4 linked regions of the Tamandua tetradactyla genome follow. The protein of the gene in region 2 interacts with the protein of the main gene of each other region in a pairwise test. Links are inferred from orthologs where the notes say so. Each region holds a gene or a part of one and is shown on either strand. Other genes may lie near its edges.

What was found.
Region 1: the proteins of CCDC33 (region 2) and ZGPAT interact in a two-hybrid assay, tested with the Homo sapiens proteins (2 studies listed by BioGRID). The two-hybrid records come from large-scale screens. The link is inferred for Tamandua tetradactyla from reciprocal best matches to the Homo sapiens genes CCDC33 and ZGPAT.
Region 3: the proteins of CCDC33 (region 2) and KHDRBS3 interact in a two-hybrid assay, tested with the Homo sapiens proteins (2 studies listed by BioGRID and IntAct). The link is inferred for Tamandua tetradactyla from reciprocal best matches to the Homo sapiens genes CCDC33 and KHDRBS3.
Region 4: the proteins of CCDC33 (region 2) and HNRNPF interact in a two-hybrid assay, tested with the Homo sapiens proteins (3 studies listed by BioGRID). The two-hybrid records come from large-scale screens. The link is inferred for Tamandua tetradactyla from reciprocal best matches to the Homo sapiens genes CCDC33 and HNRNPF.

The regions. Positions count from the first base shown.
Region 1 is NC_135327.1:61,162,925-61,170,140, forward strand, and holds the start of ZGPAT (zinc finger CCCH-type with G patch domain-containing protein), read left to right. Parts: upstream 1-4,205; 5' UTR 4,206-4,365; intron 4,366-5,038; 5' UTR 5,039-5,103; coding exon 5,104-5,690; intron 5,691-6,171; exon of another isoform or gene 6,172-6,276; intron 6,277-7,216. Other genes in the region: ARFRP1 (ADP-ribosylation factor-related protein 1), read right to left, coding at 2,440-2,522, 2,689-2,776, 3,025-3,117. UniProt on the Homo sapiens protein: Transcription repressor that specifically binds the 5'-GGAG[GA]A[GA]A-3' consensus sequence. Represses transcription by recruiting the chromatin multiprotein complex NuRD to target promoters.
Region 2 is NC_135338.1:67,862,160-67,869,895, reverse strand, and holds the start of CCDC33 (coiled-coil domain-containing protein 33), read left to right. Parts: upstream 1-4,721; 5' UTR 4,722-4,764; coding exon 4,765-4,836; intron 4,837-7,736.
Region 3 is NC_135332.1:179,346,061-179,353,885, reverse strand, and holds the start of KHDRBS3 (KH domain-containing, RNA-binding, signal transduction-associated protein 3), read right to left. Parts: upstream 3,015-7,825; 5' UTR 2,965-3,014; coding exon 2,877-2,964; intron 1-2,876. UniProt on the Homo sapiens protein: RNA-binding protein that plays a role in the regulation of alternative splicing and influences mRNA splice site selection and exon inclusion. Binds preferentially to the 5'-[AU]UAAA-3' motif in vitro.
Region 4 is NC_135339.1:2,957,331-2,965,166, reverse strand, and holds the start of HNRNPF (heterogeneous nuclear ribonucleoprotein F), read left to right. Parts: upstream 1-4,832; 5' UTR 4,833-4,965; intron 4,966-5,214; exon of another isoform or gene 5,215-5,347; intron 5,348-5,577; exon of another isoform or gene 5,578-5,793; intron 5,794-7,836.

The sequences.
Region 1 (7,216 bases), on a different chromosome or scaffold from region 2:
GTGGAGATGACCAGGTCCCGAAGACACAGCAGTTCTGGTGATGGCAACACCTTTTCCACAGGACTTGCCAGTCCTGTGCTCAGGCCACTGTCGCCTCTCGCCAGTGGCTGAATGGCCCGCACGCCCCGAGAGGGGCACGCTGACAGCTGGAGCAGTATCCACAGCAGTGCATGGGCTGTGGCGAGCAGTCAGGGCCTCCAGTAGCCCACTAGGCTGGGCTCTCTCCCTGGGGACCTGCAGATTCCTTGCCCTCAACGCCAGCCACACCTGGGAGGGGCAACACTGCTGGGAACAGCTGACCAGTCCAGCAGCATCCCTGACCTCTCCACTGTCTCCTCTCGAGAACCACTGACCTAAAAGATATAGTGACAGTGGCCCTCACACCTCCACTCACTGCACTAGCCCAACTCTGTACAAGAGAATTAAGAGGAACAGACCCTAGCTAGGTGCAGCATGTGCACAGAGCATGTGGTGCAGCTGCTGGCAGGGGCATCCGCTTTATTCCAACCCAAAGAACATCAGGAGTGGCAAACCCTGGCAGACAGGCCCTGGCCAGCCATGAATGCCCAGAGATCGGGACACCTGCAGACCCCTCAGCGCCCACGCCAACCCTACACCTCGCACACCCTGCCTGCTGACCACCATGCTACAAGATGCAGGAGTTTAACAAGCCAAGGCCCACACGCCAAAGGAAATGGCAGCTGGTGGCATCTTCTACCTTCCAATCCAGAAAGAAACTCAACACCTGACGGGCCTCCCAGGATCTGGTGGCCTCAAGGAAAGGCCTACACAAGGTCACTTCTCTAGCCAACATACAGGAAACCACAAAAGACCACCAGAAGCAAAGCAAGCCCTGCTGGGGATGCATAGGCCACCTTGCTGTGCAAGACCTGGGAGCCGGCAGACCCCATAATTCTAGGGCATCTGTGGTGGCAACAGATGCTTGCAGTTTTTGGCAAACCTGTAAGAAAACCACCATACAGGTCGCTGAGACTCCAGAGCTGGGCTGTGCCAGCCCAAGCAGACAACTTCCTGCCTTTAAGGAAGATGGCTAGTGTGCCAGGGTGCTGGAGGGTCACCACCTCAGGTAGCTACACAGCCCTTGGAGCAAGGCTACTGGCTATGGTAACTGACCCTGACTGGCGGCAGCAGGCAGGGCTGCTGTGCCCCATGGGAGTGGTTGGTATATGGGGGTTCCACTTGGTTCTCTGAGACTGTAAGCAGAGGAGGGGGGCTTGGTAACCAGGAGCAGGACCCCATCAGCTGCCCAGGTCCAGCTATGAGACCAGGTGAGCAAGCGAGGCCAGCGGGAGGTGGGGGAGGGGCAAAGCCGCATGGAGCACAGTGACCTTTGGCAGTTTCTGAGCTGTCCCGTTGCTGCCCAGCTGTGGGAAATGTGTGGCGGACAGCCTAGTCGTTGGCTCCTCTGGGCTCTGCTTAGGCTGCGAAGAGCAACCTTGCTCAGGTCCCCCCTTCCCGGGCCTGGTCCAGGTGGTGATGTAAGGCCTGGCCGGCCTGGCCTGACCTGGGTCAACCATGAGGAGCAATTCTCAACCCCAAGCTCCTGCTGAGCAATCTCCCTGGCCCTTCTGGGATGTTCATCCAGTATACACACCCTACACCCTGCTTCCACCTAAGTGAGAACCCGCGTGGTATGGGGAAATAAGCCCCATGTGCCTCTGGTGCTCAGACAAGGTAGGCCCTTGGCTGGCGTCTGCCTCTGTCCAATGCATGGGGCCACAGTGCAGCGGTGCCCTCTGCCCAGGCGGTAGCTGCTGCCCTGCTCTCCTGGCAGGAGGGGGCACCTCTAAAGGAGCCCAGGCAAAGGTGACTGTGTGCCAGGCACTGGGGGTCAAACCAGAAATCAGTGCCTGGGCCTTAGCTCCCCACACGAGCACTAGGCATATCTGCCCCAACCCCACCAACCTGAGGGGAAGGGACCACTGAGGGAAGAGGCTGCATCTGTCCTGCTCACTGCTGGACCCCAGGCAAATCTGAAGAAAGATTCTACACCCCTTGTGGATTCAGTCCTGCACTGTGGGACTTGAAATGCCCAAAACCCATGCCAAAGGAAGAGGCAGTGCCTGTATGGGGAAGACCCCCGGGGAACAGGCCCTGGTGACCTAGGCTGGGGACACAGGAGAGGGAGCTGGAGCCCACTGGAGGACACCCAGAGCCCAGGCCCTGCAGTTCAGCACCCGACAGGCTTTGCAACCCTCATGGGGCCCTAGGCATCTGCTGTCTGCTTCCTGTGGTGATTGGCCACAAGATCTCTAAACCGAAAGAAACCCAGGCCTTCCTCAATTTTGGGGGGAAAAAAGAAAGAAGGCTGGGTCCTGGGCCTTCCTGAGGGAAGGAAAGGAACGATGGATACTGTCTTCAGAGAAAAGGCGTGCGGGGCAGTCAGGAGTGCCCCTGAGTCCCTGAAGAAAGCCTTACCTTGTCCCATAGAGACTGCAGTTCTTCCTGTCCCCCCAGGTCCCAGAACATGAGACGAGCTTTTCCCACGTCCACAGTGCCGACTGGGAGAGGAGAAAGAATGAAGCTCGTGATCTTGACGCTGGAAGCCCCACATCCTGGCTCCCCTGCTGACAGAGCAAATCCCCACGGGCTACCTGACGGGGGCCCAGCCCGGCTATGGTCATCCTGGCGCCCCCAGCAACTCAAACCCATACCCTAAGGGCTTACTGTTCAGGCCCACAGTGGTTGTGATCTTGGATAAACTCATTCCTTTGTAGTTCTTGTTAAACCGCGTTTTTGACTGCTCCAGAAAGGTCTGAGGAGGGAGGACAGATCTGCGTTAGATGAAGGACCTGAGCAGTTTGCCAAGCCCGTTTCCCAACTATCTCTTCTCGAAACTTTCCTCAAAAAAACAAGCCAGCACCTCCACTCTTAGATTAGGGGTGACCTTCCTGTGAGCGTTAACAGGGTTTGGATTCCATTTGGATGGTGAATGTAGAGCTGAAGGTAGAAACCCAAAGGAAGAAACACTGGGGGAGACGGGAAAGAGAAACAAGCGTGTACCGTCTTTCCAGCATTGTCCAGGCCCAGGATCAGGATGCAGTACTCATCCTTCTGAAACATGTACTTGTACAGGCCCGAAAGCAGCGTATACATTCTGCCCCTGGGACACCCCAAGAGATAAGTCAGTAAGACATGGGGGTGGTTTGACCCGTTCCGTTCCTTACTCCCCCGGGTTTCCCCACCTTGGTAAATGGTACCCATTTGTCCTGCTGACAGCTCCAACCAGGATCTTAAGGGTGGCTCCTGATTCCCCACCCCAACTCCCTTTATTTCTAAGTCCCACTGGCTCTGCCTCCATAATCTCTCCCAGTTGTCTGGCTTCTCTCCATCTCCACCACCACCAGCTTTTCCTGGACCACCCCCTACTTCTTCACTCCTGCCTCCCACTCCCATTCCACTCACAGCAGTGACTGTGAACTCGGTTCCAGGCCCCCCTGCATCCTCACCCCACCCCCTTCCCCTTGCTCACTGAGCCCCGCCTCCCCTTAAGGCTCCACTTGTGCTCAGCTCTTCGTGCACAGGGAACAGGGACACACTTGCCCAAACTGGATATCCAAGTCTGGACAGCCAGATCGTTCTTAAAATTGAGCATGTGTGAGAAGGAGGGATTCACTAAGCAGCAGGAGCCACCGAAGGCTTTGAGGTGGGGCTCCCCATTCTCTAAGCTCCAGGGGTGGCTTTGCAGCGACAAGAGAGGCTGCGATCTCAGCCCACCCGAGGTGGACCTAGAGGTGGCGGTGGGCAGAGGGGATGGGCCCGGCCGGGGGCAGACTTCTGCGGAGGAGATCCCCCCAGGCCCACAGTCCGTCTCCCGGTAGTCCCGCACTTTGGACACCGAGTTTCCAAACTCTTGGGCAAACAGCCTAACAGACGCTCCCACGAGCGACACCCTCGCCTTGGGCGGGCGCCCCCTCCCGCGACCTCACCCCCCACGTCCGCGCCGCGCCGCTCGGGGCAGAGGGCGGCCGCGGCCCCTCAGGAGGGCTCCAGGCGGCGGCGATACAGTCCCTGGCCCACCTGCCTCCGCCCCGGGCCTTGGACCCGCTGCGGCTGCCGCCGGGACCTACGCGCGCTGACCCCGAGCCTAACCCCGCGCGGCGCCTGCTGGGACGAGGCCCGGCCGCCAGAGGAAGGGCGGAGCCGCGTAGAGCCCCGGCGGCCCCCGCGCGCCGCACCCGGCAACCCCCGCGCCGGGCACTTCCGGCGGCCTCGGCGCTCGGGAGGAAGTGCTGTTCGGCTGCGGGGGCGGAAGCAGGGCTGCCGGCTGTAGCCGGTGAGGCCGGCGGGGCTCTTTATGGCGGCGGCTGGATAACAGCGGGGAGAACGGACCTAGAAGAGAAGGTGGGGGCTTTTCCCGGGTGGAGCGGCCGGGGCCTGGGCCCGGGTCCGGTCCCGGTCCCGGTTCCGAGGTCGAGCGGCGGTGGGTGGTAGGAGCCTGAGGGGTCTGGGCAGAGAATGGAGTCGGGCCCGAAAAGAGCCCAAGGGATGGGGGGGCGACTCTGAGGAGGACTGGGCGGAGGGAGTCGGAGGACTGGGTCGGGTCGGGGGCGTAGGCAGGGGCGGGCCCGAGGGGAAAAGGCTTTTAGATTCTCCGGTCACCCCGCTTGGGAGAGCCCTGAGCACAGGGCTGAGAGTAGATGCAAAACACCACGCGGAGAAACCGGATCAAGCGTGACAGCAAAAGGTCGGTAGGCCTTTAGAGGGAAAGGCAGACCTGGACTGGGGAGGACAGCGGCTACGGAGCCCGGCCCCAGGTCTTCACCGGCCAGCTATGCCTTGGGCGGGTTCCTTAAGCTTTCTGAGCCTGTGTTCTCATCTTTGAAAAGGGAGGACGCACCGTACACCTTTTGGCAGGCTGTTGTATTTTATGGCATCGGTGTAAAGCTTTCAGCACAGAACATGGTTAACAGCCCATGTCCAGTACACCGCAGCCTTCAGGGTTTGCTTTAGAATGAGGGCCTCAGACTCCTGAGGCTCAGCTGCCTTCGATTTCTTGCAACTCTGGCTTCTGCAGCTTCCTCTCGAGGACTCAGGGACCCGCACCTGCCCTAAACCCAAAACCAACCAGCCTTCTATAGGATGGATGAGGAGAGCCTGGAGGCGGCTCTTCAGACCTATCGTGCCCAGCTGCAGCAGGTGGAGCTGGCCCTGGGAGCTGACCTGGATTCATCTGAGCAGGCAGACTTGCGCCAGCTGCAAGGGGACCTGAAAGAGCTGATTGAACTAACTGAGGCCAGTCTGGTGTCTGTCAGGAAGAGCAAGCTGTTGGCCACACTGGATCAAGTGCACCCATCCCAGGAAGATGCTGAATACATGGCTTTCCAGAAGGCTGTTGCTGAGGTAGTAGAGGTGCCAGCAGCCCCAGAGGCAGAATTGGAGACTGTTCCTAAAAGAGAGGCAGGGCCAGAACCCAAAAGACTTGGGCAAGAGGAGGAAGAGGGGAAGGACAGTGACAACGAGGAAGAGTTAAGTGGGACAAAAGTGAACGCCCCCTACTACAGTCCGTGGGGCACCTTGGAGTATCACAACGCCATGATTGTGGGCACAGAGGAGACAGAGGACGGCTCCACAGCTGTCCGGGTACTCTATCTCTACCCCACGCACAAGGCCCTGAAGCCCTGCCCGTTTTTCCTGGAGGGGAAGTGCCGATTCAAGGAGAACTGCAGGTAAAGCTCTTGGTGCTTGGGGTCCCATGGCTATAGGATATGAGGGGCATGCAGGGAAGGTCAGGGTTGTAATCAGTCCTGGCCAGGTTACTGGCAAGAAGAGAGCTTTTTCTTTTCCTTTTTTTTTTTTTTTGACAGGGGGAGTCATTTGCCCAGAGTCACTCAATTGGGAAGGGGTGGAGGTGGGCCTGGACCTATGTGGTGAGTCTGCATCTGGCTGTGCCACCCATTGCTGTCTAGGCAACTGATGATAATCTAATCTTTTTAAAATCACATGCTCCTTTGACCTTTGTGCCCAAAGGACTTTTTCTTTAAATTCCAGTGGTTTTTCTGGGCTACATCTTGCTGTGGATCATTCTGAATCCATATTCTTAGAAGCATAGTGCCCTTTCAATATGTAAGGTTTTGTTTGTTCAGAGAAGTTGAGGATTTACAGAAGAGTCATGCACCAAATTCAAGGTTCCTGTATACCACCCTATTAAAAAATAGAAACGGCTTCACAAATTTGCATGTCATCTGTGCGCAGGTGCCTTCCTAATCTTCTCGTCATTCCAATCCTTAGTGTGTGTACTGCCAGAGGGAGCACAATCTGCAGTTTCAGATCTTTTTTATCTCAGGAAAGTTTTTTCTAATTAGTTTTTAGTATGTGTTTAGGTATCTCTGTTTATTGTTCTTTACTTGTCTTTTAATATTTGTGACTTCTTTATCAATCTTTTTATTTGCTTTTTTAGTTTTTTCTCTTTTTAAATTTTGTTTTTTCTCACCAGTCTTTTTTATCTCCATTTCTTTTTGATAAAATTTTAAGAAATTCCTCTTTTTTTAAGAAAATTCCTTTTTTTCCCTTAAGTCATTGTTTGTCATATTTATTTGCTCTTGTGCATGTTCTAATTCAGTTTTTATTTCTAAAGTGGAGTTTTTCTTCCTAATTCTTTTAAAAATTCTGTCATTTCATTTCTAAATTTTCCTAATTGTGATTTATGCTAGTCTTTAAAGTTTTGTATCGTATTCTTGATGTCCTTTCATTGTTTTTTTTTAATTTTTAATTTTTGGGTGCATGGTCTGGGAATCGAACTCTGGTCTCCCGCATGGAGGTGAGCATTCTACCATTCTGTGGGGTTTTTTGTTTTTTGTTTTTTGAGTAGTCCTCTTTAGTGAACATTCATTGTTTTTCTCTTCTCTTTTTTCTTGTAGCTTTATGTGGAATAAACATCAGTACTTTTCTGTTGCTCACTTTTATGAGAAATTAATTTTCCTGAACCTTTAGAAGAAAGTTTATTTAAGTAGCTTTTCTAGAGTCACAAAGCGCTCTCTTCTGTTATTTCTGTTTCCTAGAGTTTTGTTTTTTTTTTTATCGTTTCTTAATACATTTGCATCGGTTTAGAGGAACTAGAAACACAACAGAAAAAGATATAAAATGTTAATTAGAGAAAAGAAATAAAAGTAGTAATAATAGTAAAAAACAAACAAAAAAAACCCTATAGCTCAGATGCAGCTTCATTCAGTGTTTTAACATGATTACTTTACAA
Region 2 (7,736 bases):
CAGTCCTCTTGGCAACCCTGGGGGTAGGGAACTAAAGTTCAGAGGGGGTTAGTATCCTGCCCAAGATCACACAGCTGTGAGCTGCCATTTAGTACAAAATCACATTTGCCCAAGTTTCACGGGTCATCCGTCCCGTCCTTTTCCCAGAAGCCCCAGTTCAGCTGCTCAAAAGAAATGGAGTGATGCCAAAAGGGAAGGGGGGGCCTTGTCTGGAACCTGTTGCATGGGTAGTTAGTGCCAACCTAGGCCCCAAAGGCTGCCTCCCCAGAAGCTGGGCAAGAGGCTGCGTGGACAGCCATGAGCCACCTGCCCTGACCCTTCTTGCTGCCTGGCAAGCCCAGTGCCAGGCCAGCCAAGGAAGCCTGGCTCGGGGGACCTCGCCTTCCCCCCAAACAGGGCTCCAGCCAGCGGCTTGCCCCTCCCAGAGCTGTGGGCTTCCTAATGGCTGTGTTTAACCCCCGGACCCTCCAATAACGCTGCTTCCAGCACTTTCTCTTCTTTCTGCACTGCGGCATGTGGTCTCAGCCTCGGGGGAGTAGGGTAACCTATTAGCTGTGAGATTAATCATTACCTGCTTCCCCTCCTCACACTGGACTCACTCTGAGTCATTAAAGCTTGGGGCTGCCCACTGGGCAGGGGCAGAAGTTTCCTCTGGACATCTGGGGAGCAGAGGAGGCTCATTTCCCTGGGGTGGGGGTGGGGGGAGGAAGGGCAGATAGAAATGTGAAGTAGCTTCTATCAGTCTTGTCGCTAAGTAGAAAGCCCACCCCCAGCCCCCAGGTTGAAGGACCTCTCACTGATGGTGGGAGGAAAGGAAGTAGTTCTGGGTGGAAGGTTGGGGTGGGCCCAGGAGCTGGTGTCCCTGGGGTCCTTTGCCCCAGGAGATGGTGGAAGGGGCCCCCTTCTGGTGACTGTTGAACGTGCAAGGGCCCTCTGGTGCTCTGGAGCCAGCTGGCATAGAACCAGCACCCAACTGCATTCATTATCTTCTTCCCAGGCAGGAAGGCCACAGGGCTGGGGGCTGTACCTGCAGAAAGCTCAAGGAAGCTGAGTGAAAGGCTTGTGCCCAGGGGCAGCCCTAGGAAGGGTGGCTGGATGAGGGCTGGAGGGGAGGAGATGCGGGGCAGGGCTGGGACTACAGTGGGGGGAGCCAGGTGGGCAGAGCATGAACTTCAAAGGGGCGTGCCCTGCCTGGGAGCATTCATACAGCCCTGCAAGTGAGTGCTTCCTTAAAGCTTACTCCTTAGGCACCTTGCTAGCCTCTCCCATCCTGCTGTGGACTCCTGAACAGGGACAGGGTCAGTGCTGGCTGCCCACCCATTGAACTTGCTGCCTCCTGGATGAAGCAGGCCAGGGAGGGAGGGCAGAGGCACTGCAGGGAGCTGGAACCGGCAGCTGCATCCTGCTCGGCACAAGCTCCATGTTGTGACAGTGCTGGTCCAGGAGAGAGCGGGACCAGCCCATCCATTGCCGAGGGAGGTTCGTGGCCCCAGAGCCCGAGGGGCACCACCCTTGGCAGGCCAGGAGGGGCAGAAAACTGGAAGCGAGACTCCTGGCTCCCATCCCCACCTGTCTGTGTGACCACAGCCAGTCTTTTCAGTTCTAATCAAACATGGGGCCTCAATTTTTTTCTGTCTCTAAATTGGGAAGAACCACATCTTCTCTGCCTCCTTCTCTGGAGTAGAGGTGAAGGGAGAAGCTGGGAAGCCTCATCAAAGCTCGTCTCCTGCCTCCTGCCACCGTGGTGGGCCTGTCCGTGGGTCACAAACCAAGGAAAATGGAAAGTGCCCTCAATATGGGATCTAAAACAGCTGGCAGAATGAGGCAAGTAGACAACAGGGGTCTCCCAAATACTTCCAAACTCTAGCCCAGGATTCCTGATCATCCATCAAGGCCAAGTCCAAACCCCACCTTCCCATGAGCAGCCACCACGCCAGGTCAGGGGCTACTCACTCCCTATTCTGACATCTTGCTGCACTTAAAAGCACTTAGCGCTGCGCCTCACACAGAAAAAGAAGTTATCCTTGTAACAATTTTTTATGGAGCTCAGAATTGGATCAACCATAATCTTTTCTTTTTTCGGGGTGGTGGGCAGGGGTGCATGGGCCAGGAATCAAGCCTGGGTCATGGCAGTCAATCATTCTACCAGTGACCCATCCATGCACCCTATAACCATAACCTTTGATTTGCAATCCAGTGCCATTGTTGACCCATATTCGGCCTTCTTTAATTCTTTAATAATTTATTTTCAATAACGTAATCAACACCCAATAGGTGACCCACCAATCTAAGTAACAGAACATCATAGATAACGTATGTTTATGGGTTCTCTTCCCATTCTCTCCCCCATCCTCCCACCTCAAGAGGAAACTGTTCTCTTAACTTTTGTGTTTATTATTGTTTTAAACGAAGCACCCAAGAGGTCAGGATGGCTGCAGATTCTTTTATAGATATAGCTGTTTTCCTGCCAAACTGATGGCAGTGCCTCAGTCCCCTCCTTTCCTGTAGTGTGACATGCGCGGGGCTTGGCACATAGGGTGGTTGGGGAATCTTGGTTGCCTGGCCATTCCAAGAGCAGGAAGTCTGAGGACCAGGTGCCAGACAGTAGCAAGGATGCAGCTCTGAGAGTCAGGAAATGGGCCTCTGATCCCAGCCCCCTCCACTGGACAGGGATGGGTGTGGCTTCGTCCTGCCTGTGACATCACACAGTGTTGCCCAGGTGACCCCGTGCAGTGGAAAAGCTCACTACTTTTCTGGGTTCCGGGCAGAGAGAGAGCCACTCCTGCCTTCACCTTGGGAGCACCAGGAGTCAATTGCCTGGCTTCCAATCCCCGCCCAGCCAGCTATGGCCCAGACCCCCCTCGGCATCTGTACCTATTAGCCCTCTTGCTGCTGAGAAAGACCTAGGCCCCACCCTACCCCACCTGTCCTTACCCCCCACCCCCAAAGCCAGTGTATGGCACCACTGGCGCACCACTGATGCTCTGTACTGTCCGTCACCCCCATAGGCCCCCGTGGTGCCTGGGCCAGCTGTCTGGACACGACTAATGCCTGGTCACCCATCAGTCCCAGGTACCAGTACCCAAGATTGTTAAACAAGGCCAAACACTCCTGGCCCCAAGAGGATGGGACGGAAAAAGAAAAAGGTGAGGCCTGGGGGCATGGGACACACCCCTGCGTGAACTCACCTCTCCTTCAAAGTCCCTTGTTTTTGTTTCCTCCTATATCATGACAAGACCTCCCTTCTCTGAACCGCTGGTTTTGCAGCTATGAAAGGTGGAGTGGGGTGAGGTGGTCTCTGTGGCTCTTGCAGTTTAGGTATCCTGTCCTCCTGGGCTGCATGGGATCTGAAATAGGGTGTGCTCACAGGTGATGTCAACTAACTACCCCTACCTGGTTGTTTCTGCCCCAGGCCGAGGTTCCCGTGACCCAGAGAAAAGTGCAGTTTGGCCTGAGTTATTGCACCCACACACAACCTGGAGAGGGGCTTGTACCCTCTTGTTGCTGAGGGCACATGGGCCCAGAGAGCCCACTGAGATGGCTCATCATCACTCTCCAAAATCTCCCAGGAGACCCCAGGCTCATTATTCTGCCATCTGCTTTAGACCCCTTTTTTTTTTTTTCATCTCACACCCACCAGAATGGCCATTATCAACAAAACAGAAAAAGACCCCATTTTGAGGGCTCTTTTCATCAAACTTGGCCCTTTCTCTGGCCTGCAGTGGAGCTTCTCCAGCGGGGTGGCTTTCAGACACAGGGCTCTTCTGGAGGGTGGAACTGAGCTTCTTTGCCTCTCTTGGTCTTCCAGATTGCTGGGAGGAGAAGGGTCGTGAGGGAAAAAGGATCTGGGGGATGGAGGAGTTTGTCTTCTTCCATCCCCACCAGAGCCAATTTTAGGCCCTGACCATGGGAGTTGAGTCTAATGGGCCATTAACTCCTCCGTTGCTGGTCCTGTCCTCCCCCAGCTCCCCCAGTGCTCCCAATCCAAAAATGCCTTCAATAATAGACAGTCCCAGTTACCCCCAGACATCTGCTGGCTAATCTGGTTTACTGAGGGCAAGGCAGCCAGCCTCGAGGGTTAAGGTGTTGGAAATAGCACCTTCTCAGCCAGCCCACGGGCCAGGTCCTGGTGGAGTGGTGGAGAGTGCTGTGCTTTGGACCCCAGCAGTCTTCAGGACTCATTTCTGGCTCTGCCATCCACTGGCTGTGTGGCTCTAGGCAGGTAAACCGGCCTAGAGAGGTGGACTACTACTTTCTCCACCCTAGTGGCGCTGGTGGGTTAACTGAGAATAAGTCTGAAAAGCAGATGTAGCATCCAGCTCTGCTCTTGCCCAGAGGAGGCATGCAGCAGCAGAGGTGAGTTCTCTCCCAGAGCTCATTATACCCCCACCGATGGATCTGTGGTACCTGAGACATGGGGGTTCTTCACCATCACCCACAGTTCACTCCCCAGAATGTGCACCCCCCACCCTCTGACACATTCCCCCAGTGCAGCCCTGCAGGGGGTGGGGGGTGGGGGAGGAACCATTGGTCCTGATGCAAGCATGTCTCTCTCTGAGGGAAACCTGCAGATTCCCTTTCAGATGTGGGAAGGAAAGAGGGACGGGCAGAAAAGTTCCGGCCCACAGCCCTGCCCCTAGTCTGGGCCTCACACTTGGCCCCAACCTCCCTGGCCTCGGGCCCAGCCTGCCCAGTGGGCACCTGCCTGCTGGCCTCACCGGGAGGCGCCAGCCTGGCAGCTGGCCTCATGCCCAGAAGTGAAGCATGAATATTCTCTCCAAACCCTCTGCAAGCTTTATTTCCCAGAAGACTGTCCCAGGGGGAGGCACAGAGGCGGTAAGAGGAAAGGACCCAATTCCTGGTCTGAGCTTGGCATTTTGAGATATAACCTTTCCCAAAGGTCAAAATACATGTTCTTGGGCCCTCACTTCAGTGAGTTTAGGGGGCGAATGACAGGCCCTGTGCTCTCTACAACAAGGAGTTGGGACTGCCGTCCCAGGCGGCTCCTGGGAATCTGGGGGTGGGTGGCGCATCAGTCACCTCTCCGGGCTTTACTGCAGGAACCTCTGATCAGCCAGGGACCCAGAAGACTGAATCAGAAACCATTCCAGATATTCCCCTTGGCCAGGCGGAAAAATGAGGCTCAGAGAGAAGAGGACAGGGGGGTGGAGGCACAGCAAGGCTAAAATCCACCTCCCTGTCCCCTCCCAAGCTAGTCAGGGGCCCACACCTGCTGGGGGGGTGGAGTTGGCTGTGGCGGGGGGGGGGGGGGGGGGGGGGGGGGGGGGGGGGGGCATAGTGAGTACGGACCTTGGAAAGGAAGCAGTCTGACCCTCGAGGGAAGGGAGGGAGCAGTGCCCGGGCTGTCCCACAGCCCCTCCATCTCCCCTCCACCAACTGGAGCTCCCTATAAGCACTGGCCTCTCCCACCCCCACCCTTGCCTGGTAGGAAAATAGAGGAGAGGGGGAGGGGCAGCTCTCATTAACACCTCTGCAAATGGTGACAGTCCTGTTGGGGTCTGGAGGGAGGGGGAGGGGCACCCTGCTCAGTCAGAGGAAGGGAAGCCCCCCCAACCCCTGCTGCTTGCCATTAGGCGAGGGCCACTGCCTCCACCAGGAGGTCCTGATAGAGAGCAGAAACCTTCAGGAAGTGAAGGAGCAAGCTTCCAAGATGGACATTTGGGGGAAAAGCTTACTGGGGCAGAGGGAACAGAAGGGCAAAAGCTCAGAGGCGGGAGAGAGTTTGCTGTGTTCTGAGAAATGGCCAGGAGGTCAGGGGGCCTGGAGCACAGTGAGCCCGGGAGGACCAAGAGGAGGTCAGTTCCAGAGGGCCGAACAAAGGCTCCAAGTGAAAGGGGGGCCACTGCAGGACTCTGAGCACAGGAGGACCACCCTGGCTGCTGAGGGGTTGGAGTGGGGTGGTGGGTGGAGGCACGGCAAGAAAGGAGACAGGGAACACAATCCAGAGGCGAGTGTCTTGTACGGGGCGGTTGAAGTGGCGATGGTGACAAGCGGTCAGACTCTAGATTCAGTTTGAAGGTAGAGCCGACAAGATATGCTGCTGGCCGGGTGTGCGGGCAGAGAGGGGGAGAGACGGATAGGTGAAGGACACTGAGGGTCGGGGCTTAAACAACTTGAAGAATGGAGTTGCCCTTGAGTTGGGACAGACTGTGGGAAGAGAAGCTTGAAGAGACAGTAAAGGAGTTATGGAGTTGGGCTTTGGCTTGTTAATGTGGAGATGTCCACCAACCCTCCAAGGGAGGCTGTCAAGGGGCCATCTTGAGTAGGCTGGGGCTTCCATACCATCATCCTGAAAACTGAATGAAGTAGCTAATCCACAAAAGGCCACAGGGCCAATCAGAAGCTCAAGCTCTCCAGCCTTCCCTTCGGCTCCTCTCTGGGCCACGTTCCTTCCTCCATGTAACAAGACATGGTCCTCCATGATTTCCACGGACCTTTCCCCCCTCCACCAGAGGCTGCCCTGGAATGCAGGGTCTGACAAGCTGAGCTTTCCCGATGAAAGGATCAGCCTCCCAGGGGCTCCCTCGGCTCCACCTGGAACCTGAGGCAGTCCACTGCCCCTCTCCTTGGCCCCCTCACATCAGCTGGTGCCTATTAATCAGCAGGAGGGGAGAGGAGACCTGGCCTTCTGCCAGGTGAGGCCTAGCAAGGGTGAAGATGGGTCAGCTGTGTCACCCTCAGATGCTGAGTGGAGAGAGTCAGCCAACCAGTGCAGGGGGAGAGCCAGGAGACCCTACCCACAGCAGGCCCACCTCCACACCCCATAGTCAACCCCATAAACATTCCTCTGGCTCCCACCTCCCCAGGTCACCCACTTTCCCTGACTCCCCACTGCTGCCAAGGCTTAACTGAACATGCTCCGGACCTCAGAAGCCACCCTCCCTGCCTTTCTTAGGTGCTACCCTGGCTCACCCTGTTCTACTTTCTGGCTTGTCCTTCTGGCTCCACTCATGCTGAGTCTCCCAACCCTTCCTCTTGCCAGAAGCCTTCCCTGACTGCTCTAACTGTGATTGCCTTCGTCTCCTGTCAGCAGCTCTCATCATGATGGTCCTTTGGCCCATGAATCCACAGCTCTTGAGCTGTTGAGCCCCTGCCACTGGGTCTGCTAGAGATGGCCAGCCCAGGAGGCCCTGTGTGTGGACGAAGGCCTCTTCTCCTTCCTGGCCCACAGGGTTCTCTGGGTGGAAGACAGATGTGGCATCTGGGATGGGCACATTCATTAATCTCCATTAATGTGTTCAGTGATGCCATGGATGTGTATACGTTTTGTAAACTGTAAAGTGCAGTGTGCAGGAGGGACATGAAGTGACAGTGCTTTGAGGTGAGGTGACAGGATGCCAGTTGCTAGGACCTCAAAAGTAGATGGGCTTTAGGAATTATAGGCAAGGCAACCTGCCAAAGCAAAGGCTTAGAGGTGGTAATGGACTTGAAATGTGAGGTGACCTGGAGCTGAGGATGGAGGTCTTGAGGAACGACAGGAAGTTAGGTTGTGGGGGCATTCCTGCCCTTTTCCAGCTCTCATTCTGACAGAGCTGTGGTGAACTGCAACAGGAGGGAGGCAAGGCAAGTTCTTGAGCCGAGGCGTCACAGGGGAGAATGGTATTTTAGACTGACAGAGCTTGCTACAGTCAGGGGCAGTTTGGAGGGGGAGACGCTGCAGAAAAAAGACAAACCAAGGATGGAAGAGGCAAGGGAGGGACTGAGAGAGATGTTGG
Region 3 (7,825 bases), on a different chromosome or scaffold from region 2:
GTTCTTTAATTCCAAAGTGATACTTGGCCTAAGCACGAAAATCTTATACAGTGAATGCACCATAGTTTGAATCTTTAAAGACCATGGAAAACATGTCCAGAAAGAAACTCAGGAGAAAAAAATCAAGGGAAGTCTTCCTGCAGGTCGTCCTCCCTATGCTGAGCCCTCAGGTACGATGGGGTGCACTACATTGATTTCTGCAGGGCTCTGAAGGCGCGTATGAGGAGTACTTCATTTCCTCTCTGGTGGAGGGCCAAGGTGGAAAGAACAAGTAGAGAGCTGCACAACCCAGAGACCTGGGTTCAAATCAGATCTCGGCCGCCCACCGTGCGCCCAAAGAAGCGGCGCCCCCCCCCCCCTTCCAGCCTTGCAGGCTGCCTCGGCGAGAAGGGGGAAGTGCCCCGGCAACTTTAAAATACTAAGCAAACATAAGGCGCTGAGAGCATCTGGAGATGTAAACCGTAAAATACATCTACTTTATGTCACTTGGCAATAAAATAAAGGTTTGCAATGCTGACCCATTATCACTGCACAATTTAGAGCCGGAATATCAATTCCAGGGTCGAGATTCAGAACAACCCCTGAAAAGCATGGTTTTCAGAGACAAAGCCAAACATTTAGCTAAAGAAGAATAGATCTTTTCACATCGCCAATACTGAGATGAACTTCAGATGTTAAAATAAAGCTTCCTAACTATCGATTCTAATTCAGACTCAAGACACTGTGCTTTATTTAAAAGTTCACTAGTGAGCATGAAGTTACATAACAGAGTATAATTAATATTTTAAATTGCAGGGCTTTGCACTCTGGATGTCTGCCCATGATGTGAAGGGAAAACATTAGTCTGAAGTAATCTGAATTAACAGTCCTCCTAAGAACACAGGAGGAGCACCTCTTCCTTCCTTCACATCCCATTCAACGTGAGAACTGTCGTTCTCACAAGAATTACATTTCTGATGGAAAAGTAAAGGTAATCCAGCTTAGCAACAACAAAAACATTTCTCCAATACCTGTTTCAAGTAACTGCAAGCCACTGACACTGGAAGTAACAGAAACCAAAAGAATTTCCCATGTATTACCAACACAACGCTACACCAACATGATACACAAAAATAATTGACTTTTGAAATAACTTATTGTTTTCAGTTGGGTTATTTCCTTAACTGAGTACACCACAACTTTGATTGTTTCCTTATTAAGAAAAATGTACTCAATTGCCCAGTTCAGAGTATTTCTCATGCCACTGATCTCACACAATGTACAAAGAAATTTCTTTCATAGAGATAACAGCCCAGCAGGCAAAAAAGAGATATACGTAAATCATAAAGAACAATGAATACAAACCTAACTGGAGAACTGTTCAGAACAAACAGTACAGGAATAAAACCTAATTTTTTTTCTCTCATTTAAGAATACATGCCCATTAGTTTTTCACAAATCCATTTTATTAGAGAAACAAAAATAAGCCTGCAATTAGAATAAAATGGGGACGCTCTGTAAACCCATTCCTGTTCAGCAATTCAGACAGCATGCTCAAATTCTTGGAGACAGTAAGATCCTCTCTCCACCAGTCGACAGCACACACCCTCCTCTGAAGAACCGGTTGCATCAGGCAAATATTAGAAGTTGCTGTTTTCAAATGTAAAAATCTCTGTATCAAATAAGAGTTAACCACGTCCTCCTTCACTTCCAACGAGAGAAGAGCCAGGACTAGCACTGAGAACGGCAGATCCGATTTCTCTCGGGGACCACGCGCTGGCCACCCAGGGCGATTTCGGTCACCAGCTAGCCTCTGACCAGACACCGTTTCTGTCCTCCCCGAAAGACAACCAGCCGCCCCCCAATCCATCTTCGGCTGAAACGCGGGTTCCAAGCGCAGGCGGGGCGGGGCTGCTCCCGAGGGACTCATTTACCGGGCATCCCAGCAGGTTCCTCACAAAGCCCAGGGGCCCGGCCAGGCGACATTGAGGGCAGGCGGCCCCGACCCCGACTGCCCGGAGGTTCTCACGCTCAGCTGGACGGACAGGTGCTACGACGACACAGGCAGAGAGGACTCCTCTGCCAATATTCTGAACCCCAGACACTAATGAGAGTCACCCACCCAGCGCTTCCCGAAGAGGAGAAGCAAGTCAGTCGAGAAGGGGGCTCTTGTGCCCGCTTCTTCTACTGACTCCTCCAAGGGCCAGGCTGCAGGCTGGTGAGATGCCTACCCCCAGGGAGGGCAGACTGTAGTGCCTCCTGCACATGGGAGGAACAGAGGGCTCCTCCACTGGGACCACTAGATCCTTTTCTTCAAAGATGCTTTGGGTCTGACCCCAAACCTCCTCCAAGGTCCCCAAACTTCACCAACAATCCAAGCACCTGCTACTTCACCTCGTCTGTACTTGTTTCCCTCAAATCCTTCCATGTTCCTCCAGCTCTTTCTCCAGTCCCTTAAAACAAACCAAATGCCCTAGTTCCCCTTGTCCCCCGCACTCTCTTCTCCGATGAGATCATTCAACCTCCTCCCCGACAAAGCCCCAGATTCTTCCCCATCTGTTTCCCGTCCAGAAGTTTCCCTGGGGTATCCCCAAGTCCCCAAAGATTCCCTTCAAGTCTCACCCGACACCCCGCCCCCCAGTCTTCTCCTTTCTTCCTAAGCCCCCTAAATTCACATCCCCGTCTTCCAGCAGAAGTCCCATATTCTCGCGGGTCCCCACCCAAATGCCCCCAGATTCCTATCTGTCCCCTCCCCACAGCCTCCGCGATGTCTCTCCCCAGCGCCCAGCGCGTTCCAGCCAGTGGCACCCCGCAGCCCCCCACGCTTCCACCCGGCCCGCCGCTCCCGCCGGGGCCCCAACGGCCCGGTCGACAGTTAACCGCCGGGGCGCCCTCACCCTGGTTCACCAGCCGCAGAGCGTGTGTGAAGGAGGGGTCCAGGGAGTCCTTCTCCGCCATCAGCTCCGGCAGGTACTTCTCCTCCATGCTCGCCGGCCGCCGGGGCCCGGGACGCCGACTCGAGGCGGCCCGCGGCGGCCCCGCGCCCCCGGCGGCGCGGACCCGGGCGCGGCGCGACAAGCCGGGCGGACGACCCGGCGGCGGCGGCGGCACAGGTGCGGACGCCGACCGCGCGGCCCCGGTCCCCGGTGGCCGCTGACTGCCCCGCGCCCGCGCCCGCGGCCGCTGCCTCCCGGACGCTGCCCCGTGCTCCCGCCGCCGCCGCCGAGCCGAGCCGGCGCCTGGGGCCGGGCCGGGCGGCGCGGGCCGCGACCCTGCAGCAGTCCCCGCGCGCCCCGCCAGCCGCGCCGCGCACCGGCAGCCAGCGACCCGCACGCCCAGCGCCGCCCGCGCTCTCTGAGCGCTCGGGCCCCGCGCCCCGCTCGCGCCGCCTGCACGCCCCGCCCCGCGCTGCGCCCCGCCCGCCGCGCCTGCGCGCCGCGCCCTCCCGCCGCCGCCAGCACCGCCTCGCGGGGCCCGGGACTGCGCGGGGGGCCGGGCCCGCGCCGGGCGGGGTCTGGGGGCGCGCGGGCCTCGGGGAGAGGCCGCAGAGGTGCCGTGGTAGGGCGCAGGCCGGGAAACTGAGGCCCGGAGAGGCTCAGTGGCTCATCCAAGGTCACCCGGAGAGTGAGCCCGGAAAGCGGGGTGTGCACACAGCCCCCCGGGACAAGGGCCGAGCCTGGAGGGAGGAGAGGGGCCCCAGCTTGGCGCTGGCCCCAGGCGGCGGAGGAGGGTCACGGGGGGAGCCGCCCGCCCTTGGACGCGCCCTGGATTTCCTTCCTCGTCTGACTTCGCCTGGCCCGCCTCTGCATTTGCAAGAAAACGTCGCGGGGGGCGCAGCCCGCGCCCGGCGCTCGGGCTCCCAGCGCCCGCCTCCTGGACTCGTGGCTCCGAGGCCGATTACATAAAAGCGCGTGCCCTTCAGGGCGTCTTTGTCACACCCGACTTGCCACCCCATTGTCATTCTCTTCGCCGGTGGAACCGGCTGTGCCTGGGTGCGGATGAACGAGCTGCCCAGTCCCCTCGCGGGGAGACGCCCCCGGATACACAGGCTCCCCCACGCTGCGCTCAGATTTCCCAGCGTATGTGCAGCACACATCCCAGCGGCCTGAGGACTCCTGCCTCCCCCCCCCCCCAAACTCCAAGCTCAAGAGCCAGCCTCAATGTCACCTTCCCTGGACACCCTTCCCGGACTTCCCTGCAAAGCTGGCCACTCCCCAGCGAGACCAGTAATGATCTGTTTCCAAGGACGACCTCCCTCCCCCCCACCACGCCACCCCCACCCCCACCGCCATAGCAGGAACACTTGAGCATCTCCCAGTCTGGGTAGGGTTTGGGCTAGGGGGAGGGTCCGCAGCCGGTGACAGGGCGAGGGCCTGGGGAGCACCAGTTTGTTAAAGGAATAAGCTAGAGCCCTGCCGCCCCTTGTGGGCGTCCTCACAGCCCCCCCACCACACCCCCTGGATTCTTAAATGCAAATGGAGGCAGCTGTACAACCAGGGAGAAGAAACCAAAGGAGACTGCAGACTGCTGCTAAAGCCCCCACTCTCCGTGCCCAAGTCCCCTTATGCTCAAGCACGCCTTCTGACCTGACTACCAGGTACAGTAGAACCTTCTCACAAGGATTTTGCAAGAGGATTAGATGGCCCAGTGTGTGGCCTCTGGGCCAGGCGACCTGGATTTGGAATCATGGCTCTGCTGCCCAGGAGCTGTGCACCTTGACATGTGAACTCAATGGCTCCATGCCTCCTTTTCTTCTGCCTCCTGCACGGTGCTTCCCTTCAGCTGTGGCCCCAGGGGCCTTTAGCCAGCACCACCCCTCAGGGTCCCCACCCAGGACCCAGTGCATGACCCCAGTGACCCCCGGCCCAGAGCGGGGTTGGCAGGGCAGGGTCGTCCCCTGTGCCAGCTCCTCTGGTGATTCATCGTGACACCCCACTGATTCACCCCACAGAGCCGCAGACCTACATCTCCAAAACCCCGTTGTGTCTGCTGTCCCAGAGGCAGTTTAAAGGCTTCATGGGGAGACGTTTCCTCCTTTAACCCTGAATGGAAGCGCCTGGCTTGTGGTCCTGCATACAGGACTGCAGTCTGGACCCACGGCAGCTGCTTGAAAGGGAGGAAGGGAGGAAGAGCCTCGGGGACACGCAGAGGGGAGAATGGGGACCAGTGGCACAGCTGCTCCCATCCGGCCCTGGGCCCTGCACCACCCCCCCATGGCTCTCTTTCCTCTACATCTTCCATGTGGGCCTTCTGCGCCAGCCACTCGGCCAACCTTCAGTAAGGACAGGTTTTTAGAAAGCATTACTAAGTGCCGGGCACCGTGCTGGGTGCTTTGCAGTCACTGTTTCCAGTCCTCTCGATACCTGCAGGGAAGATACTTTTTATCACCATGTACACGTCAGGGCAGTCAACACTCTGCCTAAGGCCCCTGAGCACACCCCTGGGTCCTCCAGGGAGGAAGGAGACACACGGCTCCGTGAGATGCTCAGGAAACTGTCCCCAGTGGGGTCGGGGGCAGAGCGCCTCTGCAGGGCCCTGACATGGATCCTTTTGGAGAAACTCAATCCGGGCCTCGTTTCTGGCCAGCGGCTGCAGGCAGCACCCACTCAGGGCTCCTGACACCCAGGCAGTCTTGGAGGGGGGCGTGGTGGGGTGTGTGATGGTACTCATTGGAGTGCTGGCTGCACGGCACCTCCTACGGGCACTGCCTCCCTGGGCATCGGGGATACAACGTGGACAGTTCTCCTGAGTCCCTTGAGGCCTCCAGGGACCACTTACTCTGCGTTGAAATAAGAAACTGCCCCCTCCCCTCGGATTCGCTCCATGCCCCCAAGACAGGGGGGCCTCCCCTACCCACCTCACCCGGGACCCCAGGGCCCTCCCAGGATCGTGCTGCCCCCACAGCAAGTCCTTCCTGTCCCAGCCACCCGCCGGGACACCACCCCCAGCCCCCCAGCCCAGGAGAGAAGGACAAACACTCCCTGGACCTGATCACACTCAGGGCAGGAGGTCAGGCGCTGCCCAACTGCCTGAGGACACAGAATGAAGGTGGCAGTGTGTGTGAGGGAGACAGCTGTCACGTTTGCCCGGGATCGCTGCCCTGGCTGGGAGCCTCCTGTGCCTTCTATTGGAGAAAGGGGAGCCCCAGCCTGGTCTCCCCCAATGCTTGCAGTACTGCGGGCGCAGGGCCAACGTCCAACTGTACTGGTGTGCTCTGCGCCCAGACAGACCCCGGTTTGGGCCCCGGCTCCCCTCCTTAGGGGCGGTGTGATGGAGAGTCAGCTGCTCTCGGGGTCCCAAAAAACAGGGAGGGGAGAAGTCGGGTCTCTCAGGACTGCGGGGGGAGCGGGCTGCAGCCTGAGAGTGCTCCTCACTGGCCTCGGCGGCTCTGCCCATGCCCTGCCCACAGGTCACTCAGCACACAGGCGACCACGGCCCCTAGCCCCTGCCCGCCCCAGCCCCGGGCCCCTGGTTCTCAAGCCATGCCCCCTAATCGCAGCCCCAGTGCAGGCTGCTCGGGCCCTGGGGCACAGAACTTTGCCACGTGAGACAAGCCCCCAAAGGTGGCCCGACCTTGCCTAGAAAGCCCGTAGTGTGGATGTCTGGATAGGGAGGAGGGAGGCCCCACGAGTGTTCCCGACCCCGGCGCCTCCCGGGTTCAGCAGGAAATGCTGCCCTCCACGCTGAAAACTTGGCCAGCCACTGCGGGGGCACCGGGGAGCTCTTCCAAGTCGGGGTCGCCACCGAGCCTCAAGTCAGGCACGCCTCTGCCGCAGGCTGCGGTCCTAACGCGCCCCCCGCGGTTCATTCACGCAACCTGCAAGAGACCCCACGGGCAGCTGCGGGGGCCCGGCCAACCCGCGGGGGGCCCTGGCTTTTAGAGACGAGGGGACAGTGGCGCAGAGAGTGACCCATGGGTGGTGAGGGAGACTTGGATACAGCACGTACACGCCCGCACACTCGCACGTGTACGCGTGCACACACTCACACGCACGCTATCCCGTACGCGGGATGAGGCCTTCCGCCTCCTTAGCCCCCTGCCCTGCGCGTCCGCGGCCGAGTCTTCCTGGCCGAGCACCGCCCCCCCGACTCCCACCCCGGCCCACCTCCCCGACTCCGCTTGCCGGGAAGCCGCCGGGGTCCGGCGTCCCCAGGCTGCAGAACCCCAGATACTGCGCACGCCCCCCCTAGTGGCCAAATTTGAAAGCGCACCCCCAAAAGTGCTACGTTCTGCGCGGATCCCAAAAGGGAACCAAAGAGGACGTCACGCCGCCCCAGGAGGGAGCGCAGTGAAGTCTCCTCTCAGGGCAAGGCACAGGAAAGGGAGAAGAAGAGGACGGAGAGAAAAAGAAGGAAAAACATGCCCCATAGTGGGAGCCACTGCAAGAGAATGAAAGGAGCCCCTTGGTGGTGGGGGGGGGGGGGATGCTTCTCCCCTGACCCCCACGCGAGCAGCCCTGGAAGTGATAGACCTGGCCGGCCCACAAGGGCTGGGGGTGGGGGGGGGCGGGCATAAGACCCGCGGACCCGGCTATCTCTTCCAAATCCAAATCTCTCTCTGTACATATTTCTGAGCCTGTGAGAAGTGGTCAGGAGCAGTTGTTCTCTTCCTATTTTGTTGAGATCCGATGCGAACAATAAAGACCTGCAGAGGAAGCCTGGGAAATGCTCTGAGCTCTCAGTTCCAAGCACCACAGAAGTTACTTTCCTCAGCTCAGCAGCCCCTATCCTTTGCTTCCTGGTTAAAAGGTTACATGTGATGCTGAACTGCCGAAGTACTCTCTGTACTTTCGCAGGGCATCCGGTCATCGCCACTTCTAGTGCTTTGCAGGATGCTGTGATTTGA
Region 4 (7,836 bases), on a different chromosome or scaffold from region 2:
AGGGGAACATGGGGCCTCAGGCCTGGCTCTTTCCCACCCATCCAAACTTGGGTATCTATAAATAGACACTGGGAGGAAGGAAGCAATATTCTTGAAAGAAATTTGTGTAAATAAATGGACCACACATTTTGTTTCTTCTTGCTTCCAGAACTTCAGTGTGTCCCCCACTGACTGTATATTGTCTTCAAGACATTTCTGAAATTTTGAAATATTTCATAATTCAATTGAAATAAGCCAGACACAAAAGGACAAATGGTGTACGATCCCACTTACTTTAAATAACTAGAATATGCAAATTCATAGAGGCAGAAGACAGAGTAAAGGGGACCAGGGGCAGGGGGCGGGAAATAGGGGGTTCTTGCTTCATAGGTGAAGAGTTTCTGTGGGGGTGACGGAAGAGATTTGGTAATGAATGGTAGTGATGGTAGCACATTGTAAAGGAATTTAACACCGCTGAACTGTACACTTGAAGGTGGTTAAAAAGGGAAATGTTATGCTGTATATATGGTGCCAAAATAAAAAGACTTTTAAAGTGGTATAATTGTATTACAGTAAGTGCTTTTTAAAGAGTTGAAGCAGTGAAGAGCACTGATTCATCTGCAATTTTTTTTTGGTTCCAAAACAATAAAATATGGCAAAACGTCAATATCTTACATTTGTTACAATATTATTACTAATTTCCCATGTGTTTAAGCATTTCATAATTTTTTAAAATTTGAAGTTACTGCAAGAGAGACAGAAGCAGAGAGGGAATAAGAACCTGCAAGCTACTTTCTCCTCCCCACCCCAGGGCCCACTAACACATCTTGAACAGAATGAAGTTTTCTAACTGTCCTGGGCCTCCTCACCCAGCAGAGGTGGAAGCACTGCACTGTATGTAGTTCTTAGTGGGAAAACTTATGCCTCAGCGTGGACACAGAGCCAGAACTTGGCTCCCTAATGTACCTGTTAGGGCTGCAGTAGCCAGCCCGGCCAGTTGGGGAAGTGGGCAGAGGAAGACAGGCATTCCACCCCCCCACCCCTACCCAGTCTACCTGCAGTCTGTTGCCGACCAAAGAAAGTGATTCACATAAATAACCAACCATCAAGCTTAGGAAATGCCATTACCCCTTTTCCACTATTTAAGATATGTTAATGTGCTGCTCCGCCTTCATGCTGACTCCCTGTATGGGCACATGCGCTCCTTCAGAAGTCCCTTTTTTCTGTAAGGGTCAAGAAAACTAACCAGATAAGACTGACTGCTGTATCTGCCTGCTTCTGAGCTGGGAAAAAAGTGCTGAATTGAGGCAAAACCCTGAAAATGGATTACAATTGCCAGTTCCACAGGTTACATTTCCCCCCAAAGCGTCTTAGGTTCACCTCTGGTCTTTTCCCTCCTCTGCCTAATAAACCACCTTGTCTCAAGGAAAATGCTACATTTGGACAGACAGGGCCTATACTGTGGCTGGACTGTTCAATTTGTTTTCTCACTTCCTACACTCTCTCCTCTTGGATGGGAAAGAGAAGCAGAGAAGGGGGTTGGGAGCCACCCTTAAAGACCTAGTTCTCCTCGGATCTAGAATGCAGCAGTTAAGAGCAGACCTTGAAACCAAACTGCCTCATTCGATGCCCAGAACTACCACCTACAAGCTGAAAGACCTAAGGCAAATGACTGGAACGACTCTACCTCAGTTTTCCTCCAGTGACTAGGAATGCTGATAATAATATCTACGCTTGGTTGGTGTAAGACTCAAATGAGATGAACTATTTACATAGTTCATTTACAGAGAAGGTGCAAAATATGTTAGCTATTGTCATGATTGCTATTTAACAGATACTGTGATTTTGAGCAAATGACTTCTCTGAGCCTTGGTGATTCCTCCCTACCTATTAGCACTGTTCTAGGGAAGGGGCTCAAAGCTTAATGAGTAAAGCGATTTTTCAAGTGCTTGAAAACTATAAGACACCATACTCTCCAAACCTCTGCACCATTTGTTATGGGTAAGTTGATTCCAGACTTGGCCAGTGCTTCAGAATCAGGAGCAGCTTATTTTTAATTTTTAAAAAATATATTTTTGAGAAATCTTCACATACATAGTCCATATATGGTGTACAATCAATGGCTTACGAGTTCATCACATAGTTGTGTATTCACCACCATGATCAGTTTTAGAACATCTGCATCACTCCAGAAAAAGAAATAAAAAGAAAAAACTCATACATACCAAACCCCTCCCTCTTATTGACCCCTTATCCCCCCTATTATTTATTTTGTATCCATATTTTTTTACTCATCTGTCCACACCCTGGATAAAAGGAGCAAGATTTTCACAATCACACATCACATTGTAAAACCTGTATCGTTATAAACTGTCTTCAAGAATCAAGGCTACCAGAACACAGTTCAACAGTTTCACGTATTTCCTCCAGCCACTTCATTCCACTATAAACTAAAAAGGGATATCTACACAATATGCAATAACCTCCAGGCTAACCTCTTGACTGTGTTCGAAAACTCTCAGTCACTTTAGTTTCATTTCTCTCTTCCTTTCTTTTGCTCAAGAAAGCCTTCTCAATCCCTTGATGCCGGGTCCTGGCAAAAGGAACTTATTTTTAAAAACTCAAAAAAAATAAATAAAATAAAACACATTGAAAAGTATTAAATTTAACATACTGATCTATTTACAAAAACAAAATGATATAAATGTAGACAGAAGGACCAATCTGTAAGAGAATATACCTTGGCATAATCTACGTTTGTGGTGAAGTCTTTTTTTTTTAATTCTTTTTAATTTTTTTTAAATACCAAAAAACACATAACAAATGCAAACATTCCTATTTTGATCATTTCGTTCTACATATATAATCACTAATTCACAAATTCATCACATAGTTGCATATTCATCATTATGATCACTTCTTGGAACTTTTGCATCTATTCAGAAAAAGAAATAAAACAAAAACAAAAAAATTTATACATATGTGGTGAGTTTTTACAGAATATTTTTATTGACAAATTTTCACACAGTCCAAACACAGTGTACAATGTAGGGCTCACCGTGTCATCACATACCTGTGCACACATTTGTGGTGAATTGTTCTTAAAGCAAAGGTCTTACAGGTCCATCTCTGGGCAGGGACTCTCCAGAACCAAAAACAGGTCCCTCTTCAGATCCCAGAGCTTAGGGGAGACACCTCTGAGCACACAGCCCACCAGGACCAGAAGTGAAGACAGGTCAGCAGCCTGCTCGATTCCCACAGCAACGGAGGTGGTCCAGGATGACTGGACGCGACCAGCCTGGACACGGTGGGAAGGCTCTGCCGCAGGGCCTGACCCCCCACCCCCGGAGGAGGAAGGCCCCGCCCCCACCCCCGGAGGCGGAAGGCCCCGCCTCCACCCCACCCCCACCCCCGGGGAGGAGGAAGGCCCCACCCCCACCCCGGGAGGAGGAAGGCCCCGCCCCCACCCCGGAGGAGGAGGAGGAAGGCCCCGCCCCCACCCCCACCCCCGGAGGAGGAAGGCCCCGCCCCCACCCCACCCCCACCCCCGGAGGAGGAAGGCCCCGCCCCCACCCCACCCCGGAGGAGGAAGGCCCCGCCCCCACCCCACCCCCACCCCCGGAGGAGGAAGGCCCCGCCCCCACCCCGGAGGAGGAGGAAGGCCCTCCTGGGCCTCGGGGGCACCTGTGCGACGCTCCGCTCTGAAAAGGCACACTAGTGAACACCTGGGACGGCTCCCTAGGGCCAGGCGGAAGTGGTGAACAGGCCAAGGACCCGGCCCTCCACCTCGGGAAGCCCTGAGACTACGGGGTCAGACTCAGGGTGGCCTCAGACCGCAGGGAGGGCCGACGCCCACACCCCGCGGGGAGCGCGGGGCCAAACCTCCCCGGGCGAGGCCTCGCAGTGCCGAACGCAGCGATGTTTCTGGACAGTTTAAACATCCACCTTTCCAGATAGAGACTTCTCTGGAAAATAAGGTGTGGGATTCTTAGGAATACCTGGTTTTTGGAAGACCTGTTTTCTGTAATTTTGCCTCAATTTACTACATTCTCTCCTTGCACGTCTGCGCCCCCCGACAGCTCCTACTTCTCCTCTTCCCTGGAAGCGGCCTCTTTTGACAAACCGCTTTCTTCATGAAGGGGCGCCCCATGCACTGACGACTCCGAGCACGGCTTGTGTTCGGACTCTGATACTCTCCTGTCTAACCTGCCACAAGCGCCTCGGTACCTTACGAGGAGGTAAACAAAACCCGGCAATGCTTACGAGCCCTGAAACAACAGACACCGAGGCCAAAGGCCGCCGTGCATCCGCTCAGGGACCCGGCGCTGGAGCCCCGCAAGGCCCTTCTGAGTCACGTCCTGAGGCTTTGGCGCCTCTCGGCCCGCGTGACGAGGAAGCGGCCAACGTGCGTCAACCTGACTACACGTTCCAAAAACCTCGGGCTAAAGGGTCTCTTTCCTCCATTTCCTTCTCATCCGAAAACGACCCACTACCTCCTCGCAAGCCCGCGGGAGCACTCGGTTGGCTTTTAGCCGAGATTCCGGGCCTTTGCTCACAAGGCTGAGGCGGGGTCACGGGGTCTCTTCCCGCCGCGCCCTTCCCCCCACGCTAGGCCCAGCTCCCCGCGCCCGCGCAACTCCCAGAAGGCGCCGCGACCAAGCAGCTCCCAAGAGGCCCCGCGGCTGAAGAGCAGGGGGGTTCGCGTCGCTGGCGGTGGGGGCTCTAGGCCAGGGCGGAGCCAAGGATCGTCGTCATGCCATTGGGCAAGAGCCCCGGGTCCTGCCGCTCGTTGCCGGCTTAGGCACCGCCTCAAGCCGTGCTGACCAATCCCGGGCCCGGCCTCCGCTGCGTCACAATAGCGCCCTCGCGGCCCCGCCTCCAGGTCCAACCATCTAGGCCCCGCCCCGGGATCCGCCCCGTCGTGGTCTTCGGCCTTCCGGCTCCTGGGAAGAAGTAGGACTGCGCCGCGTCTCACAGGAGAAGCAGGTGAGGCTCGAGAAGGGGCGCCGACCTGCCGTCACACGGGCACTCGGCAGCAGGGCAGGGGTGTGGCAGGGCGGGGCTGCTGCTCCCAGGGGCGTAAGTTGACGCTGCGCCGAGCAGGCCGAGCTGGACCGGGACGCCGAGCAGAGGAGGACTTTCCGGAAGCGCCGGCCGCGCTCGGCGGGCGGGAGTTGGGGACGCGCGCGCCGCCCGAAGGCCCCGCCCCTCAGAGGCCCCGCCCCGGGCGCGCTGCCAGGTGGGGGGGTTTCCATGGTGACGATAAACAAGCCTCAACTGCCTCGGCTACAACTGCCAAGTCCAGCACGTTCCAGCCTCCTCTCGGTGCGGACGTGAAGAGCGGGAGCGTGGAGACTCGGAGCCCGCGGTGAGGGGCGGCCGAGGGCCGCAAGCCCGGGGCCGAGCGGGGTCTGCGAGGAGTAGGGTGGGGCCTGCGGGGCTGGGGCCCAGTGGGAGGCGGAGCGTGAGGGCGAGGGCCGCCAGCTGGGGGCCGGCGGGGCCTGGGGACCGGGGGTGGGGCCTGCGGAGCCGGGCGGGGGAAGAGGCGGGCCTGCAGGCCGCGCTCAGGTCGGGCGGGGCGCGCACCCGGAAGGAAGCGCGCCGGCCTCAGCCCTTCTCAGCGTCGCGCCAGCCGGCTCCTTCGGTCGTGGGCTCGGGCTCCTGGCGTAGCTGAGTGCCTGGGCCTGGTGTGCAGAGAAGGGACCGCCGACCTCCCGCGCCCCAGGGCCCTCCCTCGCCCTGCTCCCTCGAGGTCTGCCTCCCCTGGCAGTTTAGCCCGAGCGTCCCCGTCGTGCGGTGTCCGCTGCTCCAGAGGTACCGTGTTTGAGGGACTGGGGACGGAAATCGTTTGTTCGTGTAATGCTGTGCCTCGTGACCCCATTGCTGCCGGGCGGTCTCCCGGGGCTCTGGTTACCTCTCCTTTCCGTTTCCTTGCTGGTGGTTCTGGGTCGGTTTTTACTCGTTCCTTCTCTAGAAAAGTTCCGGGCCCGGGGTCAGAACAGTGTGGGAGGGACCGCCGGGTTCATAGCGGCCCGGAGGTGGCGACCCGGGAGTTATAATCCTGGGACAGTGCCGCCCAGGGAGTGACGGCTGGGGTCAGAGCGGCTTGGGGGTTACAGTCGCGGAGAGTGCGACCTCGGATGGCGGCCGGGGCGGCCCCACGCAGTCGCCCCCTCCCTCCTGAGGGGTTCTGGCCTAGATTTCCGCCCTCGGAGGGTCCGGGTGGGAATTGACGGATTCTTCCTCCTTGAAGTCCGCGGCTTAAATTGGGGGCTCCGGAAGGGCCCGGGTCCCCGGCGCGCTGGGAGCCCGCGTGCGTCCGCGGTGGGGTGGGGGATGCGTGTCTCGTGGCCTCCCCGCGGGGGCGCCCAGGGCGGAGGGCTTCCTCGGAGCGTGCCTCGCGGCCGCCTGGCGCAGCAACGTGCTCGCCCGGCACCACGAGGGTGCAGGACGCGCTTCCGGCCGGGGTCGTCAGCCCGCCATGGCGGGAGGCAACCGCCGGGCGGCCACGTGTCCGGGCGGGCTGCGTACTGGAGGGTTGGGAGGCCGCGGGGCGTCGTAGCCAACTCGGTAAGACTACTTTTGGGACAGTTTTATAAAAGTAAACTGTATCTGAGTTCCTATTAGAAGTTTGCTTTCATTCTTAATTTCTGCATACCAAGATATTTTCATTTTAAAGTAAAATGAGTTTCTACTTTTTTTTTTTTTGGCCTTTAAGAAGGGGAATTTGTTAAGTTGCAAGTTTGCATGTTCTAAGGACATGAAAGCGTCCAAATTAAAGGAAGGCTATAGAAATATCCAATCTAAGGCATCCATGAATTTCTACTCTTAATATTGTGAGAGATTGTTGCATTACAGACGGGCGTGAAGGAAGTCTATCCTTCGCCTTTGAGGTCTTAATGGTCCCGTACGCATTTTGTAAACTGTTTAGCTTTATCATTTACATGTTATGCTTTCCTTTTTAGTTATGATTGGTTTGTTAATGACTTTATTTTTGGTTATTCTTTTAAACTGGTAAGCGGCTCTCCTTTTCACTTAATTATAGTGTTGCAAAGCTTTCTTTTAAAAATATGTAGGTAAAAATGCGAATTTTTATAAGGGTAGCAAATAATCATAGGATGTGGCAGCACCGTGGAGATCTGGGTTAGTGCCTGGAGGGGCTGTGGAAATGAGAGGGGTCGTTTAGTCATAAATATTTCAGTTTCTATTTTTAACGACTCGTAAAACAACCCATAATACCACTCCCACACCTTACTAATAACTACTTGATATCACATATGAGTGTTGAGATGTCCCTGATTGTACAATATAGCAAATAAACAACTAGTTGATAAGAGGTGGAATCCAGACAGGGCCACCTTGCCATTAAGATATGTTGTGAAACTTCTGTATTTTTGCTAATGTGATAAATCTATCTCGTTTTTAAAATTTTTCATTGATTTTTTATGAGGTTAAGTGTCTTTATGCAGTTCTCATAAACATGAAAAAATTTAGTTAAATCATTTTGTCTCCGTTAATCTGTTAAATGTGACAAATTGCAGCAATCGACTTAAGTATTTTTATTGAGAAATAAGCAGTTAATTTTTAGATAATCAGCTGCACTTGCATTCTTGGAATAAATCCTGGTTGATTATGATATATTATGGCTTTTTGTGTTGTAGGATTTGGTTTGCTAATGTTTAGGATTTTTGCATCTGGGTTCATGGTTGAAATTAGCCTTAAAATTGAATAAACAATTCTAACCAATTCCATTTGATTATAGATCTAAATGTAAAAACAAAACATTCGTTAAGAAAATGTTTGCATGGCTTCAGGCTAGGAAACGCTCTTAAATAGCATGTGAAAAGCATGCTGTTG